Linked DNA regions of Mus musculus. The protein of the gene in region 1 interacts with the protein of each later gene in a pairwise test. Links are inferred from orthologs where the notes say so. Each region holds a gene or a part of one and is shown on either strand. Other genes may lie near its edges.

The links.
Region 2: the proteins of Sat1 (region 1) and Hoxb9 interact in binary tests that used the Homo sapiens proteins (3 or more experiments, as listed by UniProt). The two-hybrid records come from large-scale screens. The link is inferred for Mus musculus from reciprocal best matches to the Homo sapiens genes SAT1 and HOXB9.

The regions. Positions count from the first base shown.
Region 1 is NC_000086.7:155,213,842-155,217,749, forward strand, and holds the start of Sat1 (diamine acetyltransferase 1), read right to left. Parts: upstream 2,609-3,908; 5' UTR 2,328-2,608; coding exon 2,262-2,327; intron 1,996-2,261; coding exon 1,944-1,995; intron 1,844-1,943; coding exon 1,760-1,843; intron 1,390-1,759; exon of another isoform or gene 294-1,389; coding exon 192-293; intron 97-191; coding exon 56-96; intron 1-55. UniProt on the Homo sapiens protein: Enzyme which catalyzes the acetylation of polyamines. Substrate specificity: norspermidine = spermidine >> spermine > N(1)-acetylspermine. This highly regulated enzyme allows a fine attenuation of the intracellular concentration of polyamines.
Region 2 is NC_000077.6:96,270,201-96,274,108, reverse strand, and holds the start of Hoxb9 (homeobox protein Hox-B9), read right to left. Parts: upstream 2,780-3,908; 5' UTR 2,568-2,779; coding exon 2,051-2,567; intron 1-2,050. UniProt on the Homo sapiens protein: Sequence-specific transcription factor which is part of a developmental regulatory system that provides cells with specific positional identities on the anterior-posterior axis.

The DNA.
Region 1 (3,908 bases):
CATAGGAGGACCAGGCCAGCCTGGGCTCTATGCAGTGAAATGCTAGTGAACATACCTGGCTTAGATTCTTCAAAATTTCTGATCCTATACCAAAGCCTAAAGGAAAGAAATACAATTCTACTTAAGTCATTTTAAGGCCAAAGAGCTCTGATTTCTCCTTAAACTACCTCCAATCCCAAAGTCAACTGTACCTCTGTAATCACTCATCACGAAGAAGTCTTCAAGATACAGCAACTTGCCAATCCATGGGTCATAGGTAAAATAGTACATGGCGAACCCAACAATGCTATGTCCTGTAATCAGAGTATCCCATGAGATGCAAAGAAGAAAAACAACCCATTCAAGCTGTATTGGTAGAATCAGAAGCCTAGTGTAGATTGTAAGAAAATATATATGCGTGCACCACTGAAACAAGTAGCCAGGAACTGGACTGCCTCCTTATGTTTATGCTACTACAGTCCAGACCAATGATGAATGATCTCTCTGGTCTCAGACATGTACTTGCAAAAGGCACACATTAGAGATAGCTGAAGCTAGGCTACACTTGTGGACTGGCTAGTCTGTACTCTGCAGGACTCACACTTAGGAAATGAGAACATTTTCAGTACTTGCCAGAACAAAAGGGCCAGGGACTTAAACTAAACACACACATTATTCACATCCTAATGACATGCTGGTATGTTGGCTTGGCAAAAGTTGGGTTTACACAGCAGTGTAGAAGAGGAAATACTTGCAGTTTACCAACTCTTGCTTCCTTAAGGTCAGAAGACCAGACCAAAAGAACCATGTTTACTTTCAGAACTTGCCCTCCCACATATAAATTTTCAATTTACTTCCCCCACTCTTTAAGGCAGGAGAAATAGCAGTAACCAGAAACAGGTGTTACATAACACCCACATACTTCTAAAACTTAGTTCATCCCTTACGTGTTCTGATTATCTTCGAGCCTAAGGAACAAACATCAGAAGAAAACTCAAGAAAGCACCCACCCAAACAACTTCCCCTTTTAGCCGTCTCCTGACCAGTCAACAAGGGCCAGCAAAAAAAAAAAAAAAAAAAAAAAAAAAAGGTGTCAATACATAACTAAAAATAATAATTAACAACTGACTACCTCATAAGGAGTGTCAATTCAATTTCAAATGGAGGCAAAGGTTGCAAATTAGAGGCAATGGTTGCAAATTAAATTTTCTAGCCATTTTGTATTTCTTTGCAGACAGACAGGAAGCGAAAATAAATTTCTGATCTACTGTGTTTTAAGTGTGCGATAATAGGACCTTACCTCATTTATCATGATCATCTACTTTATTGTGTAAAGGGTCTTTTAGTTACCTCCCCGCCCATCCATGTACACAGAAGGGCCATGTACATGGCGAAGCTAGAGACTGTAACCTGAAGATTGGGACAAATTAAAGAAAAAAATGTGATTTAACACAATTACAAAAAAAAAAAAAGTTAGGTTAGGGTCAAACAAAAACCATTTTATGAAACGGAATTACAACAAATGACATTATAACTAACTTTTCCGGGTTTCTACAGAACTTTGATACTTGCTCAAACAGCTCTCTCATAACCCGCCCTATTAGAAAGTACACTACACATATATTTTTTTTCCTCAGTCATTTGCACACTGGCTGGTTGTTATTTCCAGCCAGCTCCTCAGTAACCTCTGCCCGCGTAGTCACGGGTTCTGCCCAGTAGGCTCTACGGGTTTGATATAACATTAGTTCTCTCTGGCTTCTCGACAGGGATCAGGGGTTACCTTCAGGGGTCCAGTGCTCTTTAGGCACTTCTGCAACCAGGCAGTGGTAGAAGGGGTGTTCTCCAAAGCCATCCTCTTGGAGATCTGTAAGACAGGGGAGGCAGAGACAGTGAGAGTTGACCTTTGGAGGTGCCAGGAAACAGATATTACCCGCCCCTCCCCCTCCCCCGCCACGCCTTGTTACCTTTCTCAGTTAAAATGACTTGATCTTCCATGTATTCATATTTAGCCAGTTCCTGGGGACGACATATAAAGAAAAGGACAATGAAACTCCTGGCCAGCCTAGCCAGCTCACGGGAAGAGAAATGGGGCAGGCAGGGTAGAGCGGTGACTGAGTCCTGCCTGGCGCCGAACAGCCGAGCCTGACCCGGGCTGGGGTTGGCAGGCCAAGAAGGCGGAATTTACTGGCCTGGCTGCGTCTCAGAACTGCAGATGAGGATTTCCCCGGTCAACAGAGCCTCCCCTACCCTCTGCCCTAGGGAGAGCCCGGACTTTTACCTACCTTGATCAGTCGCAGGATGTCACTGCAGTCAGAGGCAGTGGCTGGACGGATCTTAAATTTAGCCATTTTCGTCTTTTGCTTTTCTTCCCTTTGCGCACCAGGCCCCTGTACTTGAACAGCAGGAGGAGGTGGTTCCTCATTCGTTTCCCGGGAGCGTCCTCTTCTCAGTCAGGCTGGCACCATGACCCGGCGAACCTCAGTATAAGACAGAAAACTGGCAAACTTACTTCGGGGAAACTGCGCAGCTAAGAAGTGGCAAGACGGTGCCTTTTAAGTCCGCAGAAGCTCCTCCCTGGACGGGGAGCCGGAGAGATCGCGACCAGTAAGGATGAAAGCCCGCCGAAGCACCGCCCTCTGTTCCAGACACTGCCCTCTTCCGGGCTCTCTCGTGACACCCATGGCGCAAACCCGGAGGGCGGGGTAGGGCGAGGCGCGCTGCTGCCTTTCTAGCCTCATGTCCTCTAGCGGCGCCTTGCGGATCCTTGCCGGAAGCATATGAATGCCAGCTTGTCCCCTGGTAACCTTCCTAAATAGAACATGTGGATTGCCTCTGTGACCCCGACATTGCCGAGAAAAGCAAACTCAGGAAGCCCAGCTTTAGGGTATGACAGAAAGATGAGAGCAGCAGCCATTCTCAAAGTGTCGTCTGGAGGCATAATTTCCTTTCCTCTCTAGTAATTTTCCACAGGCAGTTCATTGAGATGTGGTGATGTCACCATTTTCATGACTAAAGAAAGGTGTGGGTTTGAATCTTGTTTTAATTTTGAGACAGGGTCTCTCTATGTAGTCTTGACTATCCTGGAACTCACTATGTCACAACAGGCTGTCCTAGAATTCACAAATCACATAGATCTGCCTGCCTCAGTCTGCCCAGTGTTAGGATTAAACATGTTCACCACAGCCTGCTATTCTTGTATGTTCTAAGGTCAGTTCTTAGGATCCCTCGATTGCTTTCCTTCTAGCTTAGTGGTTCTCAACCTGTAGGTCACAACCCCTTTGGGGTCATATATCACATAGCCTGTATATCAGACATTTACATTACAATTCATAACAATATAACAGCAGCAAAATTACAGTTAAAAAGTAGAAACAAAATAATTTTATGGTTGAGAGTAATCCACAACATGAGAAACTGTATTAAATGGTTGCATTATAACGAAGGTTGAGAACCAGTGTTGCAATGGCTAAATTTAAAATGTTATCTTTCCTTCCTTCCTTCCTTCCTTCCTTCCTTCCTTCCTTCCTTCCTTCCATTTATGTATTTATTTTTTGAGACAAGATTTCTCTGAGTAGCCTTGTCTGTCTTGGAACTCTGTACACCAGGCTGGCCTGGAACTCAGAGATCCTCCTGCCTCTGCCCCCCACCACCTGGCAACATTTTCTTTCTTACTCCTCCCGCTTTCCTTCTTAAATATCTGTTCTTCCTTGTGGACTTTCCTTCTGAAGGAGAGAAACACTTGATAATTCGCTTTAATGATGTATGCCATCTTACATTATTGAAGAGTTGATTTCACTGCTTATAGATTTTGAGGTCTGGAAGTTTTCTTTCTACACACTTATATCTGACCGTCTCTCAGCTTTCTTTGCTATTGAAAGCTGTTGTTGTCCTTACTTGCTCCAGTCCATGCACTTCTTTTGTTTCCTTTA
Region 2 (3,908 bases), on another chromosome or scaffold:
AGCCCTCCCCATCACACACCACAAATAAGAGTCTGCATTTACAGCCATGAACACCCTGCACACTCCGACTCACAAGCAACCCAATTGCAACCATTTATCAATTGCAGCCCGTGGACGGGGAGCCCCAGGGCTTCCAGATAACTTATGGTGGCAATAGCCTCTTCTTTTCTGCTACTCAGCTCACAGTTTGGTTAACACAAGTTCAGGGAAACTGGGAAGCAAAATTGCTACAGCTCTAAGATAGAGAAGCAGAGATGAGGTGGGGGGGGCGGGGGGCGGGGGGGACGACAGAAAGCCCTTCCCAGCATACCAATCCTTTTAACGGACCCAATGGAGAGGCAGAGAAAGGTGTAATTGAGTGGAAGAGGGGCACAAAGAGCAAATAACATATACAGTTTTTTTTTCTTTTTCTGTCCAGCATCCCTCCTTAGACCTCGGGACTCAGAAAAGTTACCTGCCTCCCAAAGCAGAGCCAATTACAAGCAAGATCCACTCCACCAGCTTAGCCCCCAAGTGAAAAGCTCTGAATATCTATGTATATTTTAAAATTCACTTCATCCTACACTAAGTAGCGTGTCCTGCCAATTTGCAGCGCTATTCCCTTAATGTGATTGTCTGGGATGGGACCCGCAGCCTTTTCCTCTTTCATTAAATATGAAAGAGGAAACAAAAAAAAAAACTGTTAATAATTGAGCCTAGCCAAATGGCTGCCTTGCAATGATGGGCAACTCAGGCCTAGTCTGGGGCCATGGGGTGAGGGGTCTGTTTGGGTGTTTTCTGGAGCTTTGGGAGGAGCTGTTTTGGGGATATGAGCTCCTTAATAACTCAGCCTGGCAAGTTGGAGGTATGAGGGGACCACAAGGGTCACAGGGGAATAGTGTCTCTCCTTGCTTTTCAGAGGGCAAGCATGCCCCCAGAGGACCCATTGGCCTCTCTGTTGGTGGGGCATCCAATAGGGCGAGCAAGGACCAAACTATTTGCCCAGAGGAGGAAGAGGTGAGGAGTTGACCTGTCAGTTTGTCCCGTATTGTTTGGGACCAAGAGCGAGCCCCAAACCAGTTTGTCTTCCCCATCCTTAAAAACAAACCCCTAAAAGTAAGCCTCCTCTACTCTCAGCCAGCAGCAGTTTCCACTTGGGGTTTTATTTTAGCAAGGGTGCTTTTAGGAGTGGGAGGTGGTAAGAAACTCTCCACCAAGGGTAGAGTTCTCCGCCCCTGCGCAGTCCTCCCCCTCCCTCCCCCGGGGTCCCTTTGGGTGTCTTCTCCTCCATTCTAGAGGGAGGCCCTGTCTTTAGCAAGTGATGCCTAGACTCTCGGAGAGGTGAACTGCCCGGCCTAAGTGATCGGAAGCCCCGCGGAGATCAGCGTGCAACCGCAGGAGGAGAAACGGCCGTCCTGTCGAGGATGCCCTAGAAGGGCGGGGGACCCCCGGAGGGAAGGCTCCCGGGGAGGGGCCGGCGCACCGGGGAGGGGGCTCCGTCACCGCATCCTGGGCTTCCCCCGCCCCTCCCGGCGCCTGCTGCCGACCCGACGCGGCTACTGCGTGAGATCTGCTAGGAACAATCCTCCGCCAAGCTGTTGCATCGCAAATAAAATCCTAATGAGCCCCCTCCCCCTTCCCCTTGGCCGGCAGGGACGGTCTGCGCGTGGCGCAGGCGGCTCTGCCGAGTGCTCTTCGGCCCCGTGCCCGCGCGGGCTCCGGGCCGCGCTGGCCATCGGCCCGGCCTCCTACAGTTCTATCGCAGGTCCCTCTCCCTTTTTCCAGCCCGAGCCTGGGGAAGAATGAAGGACTAGAGAGACTTGGTCCCTGAGTCTCAGTCCCTGCGCCACAAGGAGGAGTGGGGGGTAGCCTCAGTGTCCCCCTCCTGGACACCCAGCTTTTTGCTTTGCCAGCCCCTTCCTTCCTCTTCCCTCCACCCACTCTAGCCCTGCGGCCCCAGGCGCTCTGTCCCTTTACATTGTCCGCTTTATGGCCTCTCCCCTCCCCTCCCCCGGGCCTGGCCTGCAGCCTGGGGGGGATTTCCTCACTTTTTTTTTTTTTTATAACTTACTTTGATCCGGCCTCTCTTTGTCCTCGCTTCCTTCGCAAATTTTATTGTCCCCGTAGCCAGCTCTTTGATTAGACAGGACAGCCTCCCTGCCCGCCGAAGTTTCCAAACTGTACTCGGGCGTGCCCTGTTTGAGCAGCTCCCCCGGCGCGCCCAGCAGCGGCTCCGCCTTCACGGCCGCCTGGCCCTGCCCCGGGGCGGCCTCGGCGCGCGGCGCCGGCTCTAGCCAGGTGCGGAGGTACCTGCTTTCGGCCGCCGGCGCGCCCTGGGGCTGCAGGTAGGGGTGGTAGACAGACGGCAGGCTCCCCGAGGCGTGCGGGCTCAGCGGCGCCCAGGAGGCGCCGAACACCGGCGCTTTGGGCTGGAAGCTGCACGAGGGGAAGTCCAGGTGCTCGGCGTGGCCCGGCTGCCGCGGGTTCGCGTACTGGCCCGAAGGAAACTTGGCTGGAGGCGCGTCCTCGCTCTCGTGACTTATGATCGAGTCGACATAATAGCTGCTAAGCGTCCCAGAAATGGACATTCTCAGACATTATCCGCGCGCTCGCAGGGGGAAGGGAAGCGCTCGCGCCGCGGCGCCCAAGCAGGGAAAAGGTGGCACACGGACCCGGTGCAGAGGGCTTTCGGACGCGACCCCCCCCAGACCCCCACCCTCCCACCCCCACCCCCTGCTCAACTTCTCAGCCAACAAAGTACAGTGGAGCAGCCCGGCTCGGAGCTCCTTGCAAAATGATTGGTCAAAGTTTTGCGGACTGCCTGATAAAGCGTCAGCTCCGACATAAATCAATCGGGCGAGGGGGCTGCGCTCGCGCTGTCATCCGTCCTCACCGCATTCCATATCCAGGATGGATTGTTTTATGCTGATGCAATGTGCTATCACGTCAGGGCTCCGGCGGCCACGTAACCTCAGCCTGAGCTGCCGGGCCGCCCGGGCCCCTCCCGCTTTTACAGGAAGGGGGGTTCTCAACATGGGGCGATGGGGGCGGAGGAGAGGCGGAGGCAAGCAGCGGGCTGCCTCAGGAGGGACGCAGGCTGAGGAGCCCTCTCCCCAGGCAGATTGGGGGGGGGGGGAGGACCAGCATACAGGGAGGGAGAGCGCCCCAGCCTCAGAGCTGCGGGAGAGGCCCGACAGGGTAATTAAAGAGGAGGTAGTCTTGTCGCCCCCCCCCAACACCTCCACCTCCACCCCGCGGGCCCTCATTTCCTGTCCTCTGTCCCCTTGACAGAGATGTTTATTAAACAACAGCAGTACAGCGACCCACAGGAGATGAAGTAAAAGGATGAGAAAGAAGTTGGGGCTTTTATAGGACAGTTATCCTCTTTGGAGGGGGTTCAGGGCACAATTTGGGGAGATTTACGTGACTAGGCTCTTCCCTTGATCCTTTAGCAGCTGAGAGAGGCGAAAGGGGACTAGTGTCCAAAGAATCATTATCTGTCTTGAAATTATAGCCTGCCTAAGGCCAAAGAGACACACCAGGCCCTGGAACTAGAGTTTCGGGAGACTAACCAGTCTTGTTTAACTCCTTAAAATTTTTCTTGGGCCTTTGTGAAAGGCTGGGTCCATGGTCATTTCTTGTCCTTCATCCAGGAATCTCTGAGACCCTTAAAAATGTCCAGATGAGAGGGCTAATGTGGGAAATGATTAAAGGAGAAGGGGAAGAAGACTCCCCAAACGGCACAGTAAGGAACACCGGGTTACCTTCCTTTCCATCCAAAAAGGGAAAGAGGCCAGCTAAATTCTCAGCACTCTAGCGCTTTTCACCCGGAATTGCCGCTCTGGAAAAGGTCCAAATACTGACATAGGACGGTAGCAAGTACAGAGGAGTCCCCGGCATCAGTCCGTTTCCCCCACCCGCCGCCTTCT